Linked DNA regions of Alligator mississippiensis. The protein of the gene in region 3 binds, or shares a complex with, the protein of the main gene of each other region. Links are inferred from orthologs where the notes say so. Each region holds a gene or a part of one and is shown on either strand. Other genes may lie near its edges. The genes, in order: USPL1, SENP1 and small ubiquitin-related modifier 3.

What was found.
Region 1: the proteins of small ubiquitin-related modifier 3 (region 3) and USPL1 are in contact, whole or in part, in a crystal structure (PDB 7ZJU), measured with the Homo sapiens proteins. The link is inferred for Alligator mississippiensis from reciprocal best matches to the Homo sapiens genes SUMO3 and USPL1. Residues at the interface, in NP_008867.2 of Homo sapiens: Gln24, Asp25, Gly26, Ser27, Val28, Arg58, Arg60, Gly63, Gln64, Pro65, Ile66, Asn67, Asp70, Leu75, Phe86, Gln87, Gln89, Thr90, Gly91; in NP_005791.3 of Homo sapiens: Ala234, Cys236, Trp237, Pro321, Gln322, Leu323, Arg324, Met330, Glu331, Ser332, Val334, Phe335, Leu339, Tyr368, Thr378, Thr380, His393, Phe394, Gly395, Pro396, Asn398, Arg407, His421, Val423, Tyr451, Asn454, Asn455, His456, Phe457, His493.
Region 2: the proteins of small ubiquitin-related modifier 3 (region 3) and SENP1 are in contact, whole or in part, in a crystal structure (PDB 6NNQ), measured with the Homo sapiens proteins. The link is inferred for Alligator mississippiensis from reciprocal best matches to the Homo sapiens genes SUMO3 and SENP1. Residues at the interface, in NP_008867.2 of Homo sapiens: Gln24, Ser53, Arg55, Gln56, Arg58, Arg60, Asp62, Gly63, Pro65, Asn67, Thr69, Asp70, Gln74, Glu76, Asp84, Phe86, Gln87, Gln88, Gln89, Thr90, Gly91, Gly92; in NP_001254523.1 of Homo sapiens: Gln440, Asp441, Glu446, Arg449, Leu450, Thr451, Lys455, Trp465, Leu466, Asn467, Asp468, Glu469, Asn494, Thr495, Phe496, Lys500, Arg511, Trp512, Lys514, Lys515, His529, Gly531, Val532, His533, Trp534, Gln597, Gly600, Ser601, Asp602, Cys603.

What each region holds. Positions count from the first base shown.
Region 1 is NC_081824.1:425,964,655-425,968,396, forward strand, and holds the start of USPL1 (SUMO-specific isopeptidase USPL1), read right to left. Parts: upstream 2,852-3,742; 5' UTR 2,657-2,851; intron 1-2,656. UniProt on the Homo sapiens protein: SUMO-specific isopeptidase involved in protein desumoylation. Specifically binds SUMO proteins with a higher affinity for SUMO2 and SUMO3 which it cleaves more efficiently. Also able to process full-length SUMO proteins to their mature forms.
Region 2 is NC_081838.1:9,123,018-9,126,759, forward strand, and holds the start of SENP1 (sentrin-specific protease 1), read right to left. Parts: upstream 2,374-3,742; 5' UTR 2,283-2,373; intron 1,922-2,282; 5' UTR 1,882-1,921; coding exon 1,878-1,881; exon of another isoform or gene 1,707-1,877; intron 821-1,706; coding exon 690-820; intron 1-689. Other genes in the region: PFKM (ATP-dependent 6-phosphofructokinase, muscle type), read left to right, coding at 3,308-3,476. UniProt on the Homo sapiens protein: Protease that catalyzes two essential functions in the SUMO pathway.
Region 3 is NC_081830.1:33,436,107-33,439,848, forward strand, and holds the start of small ubiquitin-related modifier 3, read right to left. Parts: upstream 2,957-3,742; 5' UTR 2,863-2,956; coding exon 2,842-2,862; intron 1-2,841. UniProt on the Homo sapiens protein: Ubiquitin-like protein which can be covalently attached to target lysines either as a monomer or as a lysine-linked polymer. Does not seem to be involved in protein degradation and may function as an antagonist of ubiquitin in the degradation process.

The DNA.
Region 1 (3,742 bases), on a different chromosome or scaffold from region 3:
TGACCAGCTGAAGGCAGCTCTCCACGCTGCTGGCTCTGCTCTTTTGGCTGCCTGAGTGCTGTGCTGCGGTTGCGCGCAGCATGAGCATTTATCCACCAAATTATCGGCCCCGTTGGACCGATATCTGATGCAGAAAATTTTCTTTATATTGGTACTGATCCGATATTGGACCAATGTATCGGTGTACCTCTAATTATTACATATAGTTAAAACCATAGGGGTTTTTGTGTATCATGTGACAAGTAATTTTCTGCTGCTGCCCTCCCCAGAAATGCACAATATTAAAAAGGCAGGCAACACGATTCACTAGTATATACTATTTAGTGATCTATCATTGTTTATTTGGCTGCTAAACTTTTAGTTACATCTCCCTTCAGAACAGGGGTAGGCAACACCTAGCTAGCATGCATACCGAAGTGTGGCATACAAAGGCATTGTTTGGCATGCACACCTTGGAGAAAGGGGTGGGGCTATGCTGCCACAACAAGGATCCGGCCCCTTGCAACTCCCTACCATCACATTAACATTTTAGAAGTCAAGGCTGTAGGTGTTTTTGGCACCCTGCAAAAACATTGCTGACCCCTACTTTAGAAGCTCAGCAAAACCGTGACACTGAAGCTGTGGCTTTTGGAACACTGGCAGACATATAAATAATGTCATGGTATCTCATCCCCAATCTGAAAAAAAAAAAAAACACTCTACATATCCTACCAGGCCACAAACATATAGCAGGATGGGCAATTGCTTGGATCGAGGACCAATCCCAAATACACCATTACTTTAACAGGAACCTTGCAAATCAATTGCTTTTACAAGATTACCAGTGTAGGGAGTTGAGGGGCTGCCTGCAACTGGACTGGTTGTCTGCCTTGCCTCACAGCTCATGTAGGGACACATACCACATGCTCAACTCATGGTACCATGCAAACCAGCCACAAAAATGGTCCACATTTTATGTATTACCTTTGTGGCTGGTTTGCTACTTTATAGCACCACAGATCTCTGAATGTGTGGCACTATTCCTATTTATGGTGCGATTAACATGTACATGAACATGTGTCAGCATCCTTAATCCCTGGCCATTGAAACTGGTATGTCTGATGAATATTAAAAAATATGTATTACCTAGTTTGATTGTTTCAGGCAATATTTATCTTTTGGCTTCATTAATACTGATTTATGGATGACTTAACAGAGGAACAGAATGGATTATGTCTCAACTCAAGTCATAATCCTTTTACTATCTACTTTTACAAAGGGAAAACACTTGGACAGGACAGAATGCACAAGCTTGTGTTGTAGCCCCACCATCTTTCCCAAGATGTTATTTTGTGACATCCAAGTAAATCACAACCACTTACTTATAACAGTATCCTCAGCCATGTATGTCCATATTTTATTGCGCTTTTAAGAGTACAATAAATTTTAGCTGAAAACATTCAGTGACCACTCCTTTAGTGCAGAATAGACAGAATAAACCAACAAGTGGGGATCCCAGAGACAGCAGTACTTTTGCTCCTCAAAGTGGGCAAAACAAAATGAAGCAAAGTGGCACCAGTTGAACTGTTCAGGCATTTATATCTTTGCAACATCAGAGAGGGTTGTTTTTTTGTTTTTTTTTAACTTATTGACAATTTCTCAGTGTCACTATGATATAACAGCTTTGTACTCAGCAGTAGCCAAGAGGGACAACTACTTAAGCCCTGCTATATTCTAAAACACAGGATATATCTTATCCCACAGTCTCTCTCTGAGACAAGGCTGAAATGAAAGAAACCTACATGAGATATTTGTAGAGTCTGTGGGACAGCTTTTCAATCCCCTGTACTCTTTCCTTTTCTATCCAGCATAGGTATACCCCTCTTGCAAACCTGGTCCTAGAACTACTCCTAACCCTTCCAACACTTATCCAGAGACCCTGCATTTTAATAATCAAAAAGAAATGAAGGGGTTTCAAAAGTGTGCATTCTTAAAACTATGAAGTCAAAACTTACATCTCAAATCTAACTGAACTCATCAGAAAATAGGACAATTACTAATATTCTAAACTGAAGTGACAAAGCTTGATAGAATGTATGTCAAATCTACTGGCTTAAAAATAAAATGCCAGCATCTATTTCAGAAGCAAAATATACAAAATAGGACATCTACTTGGAGATTTTTTATAGAGTCTCTTGCAGACAAGGAAAGAGTTTATAGTCAAGAATTCCTATTCAAAGTCCTACTGACCAGTTTTAATAAATATCAACCACATGGAAGTGAGAAACAATTCTCTGCACTAACTGCATGGCTCAAACAAGCTGGACAAACTCCTGCTGGCTGGCCTCAGTTCTCCAACTGCTTTCCCCTGAAGTGAATGGGAAGGAGGAGGGGCGGGAACTACAAAGCTCATCACAGCCCGAAGTGAGATTTACCTTGGAAGTTTCCCTTGACCGTTGCCCCCCCCCCCGGCAAGCAAAGGCGGCAGTCGCAACAGCAAACAGGGATTCAAGGTTTAACTGCCCCATGCCCTGAGCCTGGCTGAAGGGTGGGGAGGGAGCCACCTCGAGGCTGCCCCGGTCTCTCGTCAGCACCCGCCCGCACTCACTTGAGGCGACGGAGCCGGCCCCGCGCACCTGCCCCTCAGCCCACCCGGCTCCAGGAGCCCGCATCTCACCTGCTCGCCGCTCCTCGCCCAGTTCTGGCCTCCGCCTTCACCCGCGAGCGCCCCGGCCCCGGCTCATGTCCCCCCACTGCCGCCACCCTGAAACGAGACGCGGCTGCCGCCCTCAGCGGGGCTGGGAGGGGGCCGTAGCCCCAGGCCAGCTGCCCGCACGTGGGTGCCGCCTAGTCCGGCCCGCGCTACGCAGCAGCACAGCGCATGCCCCGCCCCGCCCCTCACCCGGAGCCGCTCAGCGCGCTCCGGAATGGACGGCAGCCAACGCGCCTCACGCTGCGGCCGCCCCAACCCTACGCACTTCCGGCGCCCGTAGCTCGGGCGCTGCGGCCAATGGGGGAGCTCGCGCGTCAGAACAGCGGGCGGGGGGGACAGAGAGAACTGTTCGAAGTGGGGGGAGGAATAGGGGCGTTCGCGCGTGCGCAGCGCAGCGCAGCGCAGGCTCCGGAGGCTGGAGTCGAGGCGCCATTGTCGCTGGCACATGCCCATGCCGAGGCCTCGCCCTACTGCTAGTTGGGTGCCAAGACTCCATCGTCTCAGCGGGGGGAGAGAAGGGAAGTCCTGCAGAAATGATGGGAGGGGGGTGTTTATATTGCAGGCACACGTTCAGGAGGAGGGCAGAGAAAGCGTTTCAAGGACGTCCTCAGGTCCCACTTCGAAAAAATGCAGCACCAACATCAACTCTTGGACAGTGATGGCCCAGGCCCAGGATCGCCCCAAATGGAGGTAGAGTCTACTGCACAACAGCTGGAGAGGGAGAAACAGGAACAGCAGAAACAGCCTGTTGTGGGTCGGATCAAGAATCCAGAGCCACCCACCCACACAGAAATGCACACCTCAGCTGCAGTAGAGTCCGTTGATCCTGGATTGGCCTCATGAAGGAGGATCATCCTCAACTGTGAGGGATTGCCAAAGAGTATTTGTAAGGGGGGGGCGGATGTGTGTATATCTACATATACACTTATACATGTGTATATATATATGTGTGTGCATGTAGGTATACATATATGGAAAGAGTGCACGTGGCAATGCACATAAACTTCTGCATGTTTGCCACACCTGCATGCACACACACAAACACATGCA
Region 2 (3,742 bases), on a different chromosome or scaffold from region 3:
ACAGGCAAGTATGCACAAGTGTAGCCTCTATGGAGGAGAGGTCATTTGCATGCGTGTACACAGGCAAGCAGTTTTCTATGCCGAGTATGCCCAGACTGCAAGCTCTTTGCAGAAGGCAAAGCAAAGTGACACCTTAGAGACTAATTGGTTCAGAGAGGCATCAGTTTTCAGAGGCAATAGTGGACTTTATCAGAAGATGTCATCTTTTGGCTAGTGAGGTTCAAATGACATTTGGCAGAACAGGGCTTGAGTACAAGCATCATCACAGTCCAAACAGTAAAAAGACCACGATTTTGCAATGTGCAAAGTGCCTGAATTTGGACTACCATGCACCACTACCATGCATCATCTGCTATGTGGGAGCCCCTGGAGATATGCTATGCCAGGTGCTACATGAACATATCAAGAAGTCAGACAGTTCCTGCCCCCCAGCAGCTTGTAACAGATTGGCAGACAGATGGGAAGAGCAGGAGAAAACTGGTCAGCATAAGGAGGCCGTGGGACACCACACATTTAACCAGTGGCAAGGGGTTTGGCAAGCATCAAGGCAGAACCGTGGGGTTTGATTTAAATGCCGATGCTGATGCCTCAAGAGGTTAAGAGCCAGTTGGATTCACCAAGGATGTGTGTCCCGGCAATGCACATGAGCAGCCTGAATTGCTAGAAGGGAAAAGGAATGGCTCCCAAACCTTGGTTCCAGGCAGCGAAAGCTGATCCCCCAAAACTGCCCTCTGTGATGGTGGGAAGGCCTTGAACGTGGAGCCATGGTTAGCCAAGGCTGCATCTCCGGCATCCATCCTCATAGGATCAGCAAACTCATCTAAGGAAACAGACAGTGTCCATGGCCGCCCACAGGATGCTCCCCACACACTCGAGCATAATGGAAAGGAGAGATGCAAGAAAGCCGTTAACGTCTACACACTGAAGTAACGACATGGCCAAAGACCACGTACACACCAGGACATGAACAATGGTGTCAAGCACTGAGCTGCAAGTGCAATGCCCTCAGTTCTATACCTGGCTCCGTCACTGACCTCCTGTGAAACTCTGGGCATCTCTCATGGTCTCTGCTCCCTCCTCCCCATCATTTCATTTCTATTTTATCATACTCCTAAAACACAAAGGTCCTAATCTCAGGAGAAACCTCCAGGCACTACAGACATATTCATATTAATAACAGGAGGTAAACACCAGGGAGAGAGAGGAAGCTTCAGACTGGTGCCAGGGGACAGAACCAGGAGAAGTGAAACGGGATGAATATCAGGAAACTTTCTTAAGAACAAGGAAGCGAGGAGTCTGTGCAAGGCTCACATGAAGAAATGCAAGCTTTATTGAGAGAAACTGAAGGCGTCTCAATCTCACCCTCGCCTGGTGCTTTATCGTCTTATATTCCTGTGCTCAGTTCTCCACTCCTACCCACTTCATCCCTTGAACTTCAACACATTTCTCACCAATGTACACCCTTTTAGCAGTCCTGCCCTTTGCGTCTCTGTGACAAACCGCAACAGCACTTTGATACTGATCCTACCAACGTACATCACCGTAAGCGGAAAAAAAAAAAGCAAACGAACACCAGAAAAAAAGCACCGCACATTCAAACGAAACCCGTTCTTACAATACGCCATAATTACAGACAGAGAAACCGCAGGCAGACACGACGTCGGTTCCTGCACATTTTACTCCTTCAGGAAACGCGAGAGACTAACATGTCGATCAGACGTTTCTCGGCAGCCACTCGTTCAACCGATGCTTTAGGCGACGTTACGCAGATGCGAGGTCCGCAGCGGGCGCCGGCGGCTGAACGATATTCCCCGCTGGGCTCGCGCGTCGGGCAGCGCAACCCTCCAACCCGGCACGGAGGGAACACGCTCACTCACCCATCTCCAGGCTGCTCACATCCCGGACACGGATGATGCAACTTCTGGGGGCAGGGAGGGGGAAAAAAAAAAAAAAGGACACGGTGACTACGTTTGCAAACACCTTACACGCAACGTGAGAATCGGCGCCAGCATCAAAACCTCTGGTCCGGAACAGACCCTCGCTTTTCCCAGATAGCAAACTGAAGCAGAATCAAAGGTTTTCAAAGCTTCTGCTGCCCCTGACCAGCCTGCCCAGGCTCCCACGCGCAGCACGAGGGCACAGCTCCCTGCCAAGCTCTGGGCGGACAGCGACCGGAGCAACCCCACCTATCCCCGTGGCCCAAGGAGGAGCAGGCCGGACGAGCCCCGGAGGAGCCCGGCAGCCAGCGAGCGAGCGAGCGAGGGGCGCGGCGCGGCCCGTACCTGCGAGCGGCGCGGCCGGGCCGGGCCGGGCCGAGCCGAACCGAACCCCCTCAGGCGCCTCTCGCCGGAAGCGGAACCGGCCGCAGCGCGCGGAACCTTCCCAGCCGGAAGTGAAAGCCGCAACAGCGGAAGCGGAAATGGCGCACAGGAAAAAAACACCGGCCACGCCCCTTCTACATATAAATATATGCAAATGACTTTTCCTTCATTTTTTCCTATGATGACCCATTTTTCCCTTCATAAAAAACTATGTTTTTTTATTTTTTTTCTACTAGTGGTTTTCATTGAAACTGGTCACGTGCAGAGGCCCCTTGTCCTGCACTTGTGCTCCTGCCTGAAGGGACTCTTAACCGGGGCGCCTGGCACCTAGGGGTGCCTTGAGATCCTTGCAGGGGCGCTGCCAAGCACCGAGCGGTGCTGGCGCTGCTAGGTGTGCAAATAGGATCTGCAAGAGAAGCCTGTAAAGTTCAAATCGTGTTGGGCTTCCTGCGTTCTTCGCAACCAAACGCTGCTCTTTGGCTTTTCTGGAGGGCGAAACAGTGGAAACGAAGAGCTGGCGTTTGCCCAGGGATGTCACGAGTTTAAAAAAGGCCGAGAACCGCTGGTTTGAGGCACTTTCAGCCACTTTCAGCTGTGCCTTGCCTGACTGGTCGTGCTGGTTAGAGCAACCTTGAGGCTGCTCTATGCTCTGCTTCCTGGAAAAGCAGCCAGGACCCCCTTTCAGCACGCTCCACCCTCACCCCGTGCGCCACGCAGCAGCGGTGGAAGGGATGTAGACCCCTGCGATGGTTGTCTGCTGGCCATGGAGGGGATCCAGGCCAGGATGCGTTGCTATCTAGCATAGGGCGTTTCTGTGCCGGCAGACTGGCACCTAGAGGCCTTCAGCATAGGGCATAGGGCCCTGTTCCTTTAAAATCAATTTGCAAGGCAATCCAACTCAACCCCTCCAAGGTAAGGCCGTGCCCTTTATATCTGCCAATGAGGCAGCAGGAAGGCAGAGGCAGCTGCTGCAGCGGGCTGAGCTCATGTCTATAAATACCAGGCTGGAGAGCTGGCCCTTTCTGGTCATGTGGGCTCCCCTGAACTTCACACTCCTTTGGTCCAAACTCTTCCTTTCTGCGTCGCTTGCTTTTGCCGCCGTTTTCTTTTTCCTCACCTTCTTCCCCTTTTCCCAGAAAAGGAAGGAGCTGCCAGGTGAGTGGGGACGGGCAGAGCATTGAAAGCATCTGGCTGCGCACAGCTGGATCCCGCCAGCGATCGCCCTCTTGGTTTCAATGGGGCGACTGATCGGCTGAAATGCACCCAGCCGCGGGAGCTCCAGCCTGTCCCCAGTTCTAGCTCTTAGTGAGTCAAACCAGGGGGCTCTGGCCAGGACGTGAGTATGCATGTACAGTGCATGACGGGAGGGCAGCAGGTGCATGAAGAGGTTCGGTATTTGGGGATGCAGGTTGGGGCCAGCA
Region 3 (3,742 bases):
TACAAAAAAAATCATGGACTCAATACAGACACTGGATTCATGACGCATTACAACCTGCCTGATATCTGACTCACCTGGTACCTGCCTGACCTGACCCTTTACATTCTTCCTTCCCTTACTTTGCTGCCTTTGTCTTCCTGATTTCCAACTATTTCCCTTTTCATTGACAGCCTCTTCCTTACCTTGTATTATTACCACTGTAGTGTTTTCCTTTGGCCTTTCCCCCCCTCCCTTCCCTGCTTTACCTTTTGTTTTCCAATTTTACCTAGTTATATTTTCACTGACTTCCTGTTATACTTTTAGTTTCTCTCCTATTTCCCTGGTCTTCAACTATTTCCTTTTTCACTAGAAACATTCACTTGAGTTACCAGCACAGGACAAAGTCAGTGAATAAGTCTCAGCCCAGACCAACAATTCAGGTTACTTCCTCTGCCATTACAAACGTGGGATTTTACTCTTTCTTGAAAAAGGCACAGTCATCCCAGGGCCCACCTTGCCAGGTGCAACCTGCTCAAAATTCTTGCAAGATGAACCCAAGGCATGCAGCAGTCTTTTCTAAAATTCTCTCTAGATGATGACTGCAGATAGAATAACCCAATCCAGACTTGAAGAAAATGATCAGAAGCACAGCACAACAGCTGTACTTGTAGAGCTTAATAAAGCCAATCCAGTGCTCCTGGGTCCTCTTGGTTCCTCCAGTTTAGGAAGTCTTTCTTCCCCCATGGATGGAGCAAGGACGGATGAAGATTTTGGGAAATGAAAGTTCAAAAGCTCACAGAATCCGGGCTTTTGATACTTGCATATCGTCCTACACAAGGACTTTAAGTCCGCAATCTCCACTTGTACGACTGCATCACCTGCTCTGTGCACGTAAGTAGACTGGCCAAAAAGAATCAAGAAAAAAAACCCTACTCTCTGTGAAGTCCAGCCTGTTTATAATATGTATATTAACAAGTTCCTGACCAAGGCCTCTTCACTGCAACATTCTAGCTTATTAAAGCATACGAGTCTGCAAGCAATAGATGGATGTTTTTATTAAAGTTCCCTTTGGTGGCATTATTTTTCAGGTGACCTCCAACAAAAAAAGCACTAAAGAATTCTTCAGACAATGAGTTCTCCGACAGGGATTCAAAGGCAAGTTTCAACCACCAGAGCTTCCAAAAGGATGCTACCAAACAAAGGGCATCCTCTATCATTACGTTTTGGCTGGGATTAAGGCAGAAGAAAGAGGGGAGGTTTAAAAAAAAAAAAAAAAAAGAACAATGTACTTTCTCAGGGGGGAAAGGGAGAGAGTATGTGGATGTCCTGAAAAAAACAAATCTCCCCATCCCTCCCAGAGGGAGAATAAACTGCGGGAAGGGAGGAGGGGAATTATTTTCTTTTATGGAAGTATTCAATTCACTCCCCAGTTCTCCTCAGTCACTGGGTAGTGAAAAGGCTGTATGGAGACGGATTGCTTTTGAATTTGGGGGAGGGGATTATTTTGTTGTGTTCATATTTTAATGCGTTTCTTCGCTTGTAAGTTGCCCTGAGCCCTTATGTGGAGGGTGGGTAAGAAAGAAAGGAAGTGCTATGCCTGAGTTGTGGCCTTGTTGGCTAGGACTTGTCCACGTTAGGCCGTACTGCACTGTGGCCAGCCAGCAAGAGGCTTTCCTACACCTTGCTGAGCTGCAGCACATGCAAGGAAAAGCAGTGGCAGAGCACAGGTGGCTGCCGGGGTGGTGGCCTGGTCCTAGCACCAGCCCATCTCATCTCAGAGCCAAGCTGGGCCATTCTGGCTCCCTGCCACAAACCCCTGCCGACACTGGCTTAAACTTTTCATCCTTTTCACTCCACCAAATGTAAGTTACTGTTAGACTGTTTTCTTTTACAGATGAGGACACCTCATCAGCCAAGTGCCCAGCGAAGGAAGAAATGACGGTTCAAAGTGGGCTCTCAGAAGGAATGATGAAGGTTTCAGGATGGGGCAGAGCCCCTCCATCACCCCAACAAGGAGCACTGCCGGGCACGATACCACGCACCACCTACTTAAGAACAACTGTTCGGATAGTAACACGCACGGTCTGCAGCATCAAGTTCGGGGATCTCTGCAGATCACAACAGCAGGAAGATTTAACCTAACCCTGGAAAGGCGGGAGCCCCATCCCTTGCTCTTCTCATTCAAGAGTAAGCTTTCTGAAAGATGACACCTGCTCCATTGATCTCCACGAGGTCCACCGCCAAGTACCATTTAATTCAACTCAAGAGTGCTACCTCGGCAGCCCCCTGATGCCAGCTTCGAGCAATGCCCCCTGGCCTCCACGGACTCCTCTAATTCGCACAGAACTGAAGGTTTCAGGGTTAGTCTGAGGCAAAGCAGCACCAACAGCCATCACTGCATGGGAGACCCATAACGAAGACTCAAGCCTGACACCGTGCAGCTGCTCATCCCTCAAGGCTGACCCGGGCTCTGCAGGACCACGAGTGTTGGTGCCCTAGAGCAGCAGGGCAGGAAGGGAGCTGCACGGGCCATCTCCAATTGCCCGGGGGAGGCAGCCAGGAGCCCCCCCCCGAGCTGCGGAGCCGGGCCCGTGACTGCGAGGTCGGGACACCTGCTCCTGCGCGCGCTTCCCGCGCCCGCTGCCCCGCGGGGCTCCGGCTCCTGCGGCCTGGGCGGGCCGGGGGCCGCGGACGCAGAGGGGAGCGAAGCGGCCGGCCCGGCCCAAAGGCCCTAACGGCCCCAACGGCCGTTCGAACGCGGCGCCGCCCCGCCCCGCCCCCCGCGGCCCGGCGGGACCCGCCTCCCGGGTGGGCCCGCGCGGCCCCGGGGCAGGGAGGAGCCGGGGCCGCCCGCGCCGTTACCTTGGGCTTCTCCTCGGCCATGGCGCCGGCGCTGAGGGGGGCGATGGCGCTCGCGGCTCCCGCTTCTCTCCCGCCGCAGCCGCTGGCGAGAGCGCGCGTCACCCCTCCCCCACACCCAAATCCCCGGGCCCTGATTGGAGCCGGCGGGGCCACGTGGGGTCGGGGCGCGCTCACGAGGCGCGCTCGCGAGCCAGCTGCCCGGCGGGAGCGCGCCCGGGCGGGGGCGGGGGCAGGGGCAGGTAGCGCGGGGAAGTGCGTCAGCGCGGGGCCGGAAGCGGCGCTGCGGCGGCCGGCGCAGCTGGGTGGGGGAGGGGCGGCAACTGGCACGTCCCCTCCCCCCACCGCGGCCTTTCCGGCGCGCGTGTATCTGCCACTTCCTCCCCGGTAGGGCCTGGTGGCCTCAACCCGTACGAGCTAGGCACCGAGCTGGCCTGCAGGGCGGCACCAGCGCGCGCCGGGCAGGCTCATGGCGGGCACGCGGCACCTCGCGTAGCCCGGAGTTGTCGCAGCCTGCAGGGGCCCTTTCAGTCTTGCACGCGGCGGACGCGGTGTGTTGCGCCTGCGGGCAGAGTCGGGGCAGCCGCTGGGTGCTGTTAAGACTCCCCTGTTGTGTGTGCGTCACACCTAAAGGCCTAGATCCCCGTCGGCCAGCATGGCCCTCTGCCCCACTGCCGCTGGTCCTAAACGCAGATGAGGCCTTCCAAAAGTCCCATCAGTGCCAGAGCCCCGATGCTGACACCTGAGCTGCTGGCTCCTACCATAAGCTTGCAGGGAGCATCTGGCTAACGAGGCTTCTGATCTCAGCCTGCACCCTCAGTTCTTGGCCGTCTGCTTTTCTGGCTCATGCTTGCAGATGCCACTCTAATGGTCTGGTTTCCGTGGCTCGGCTTGCTCGTGGACT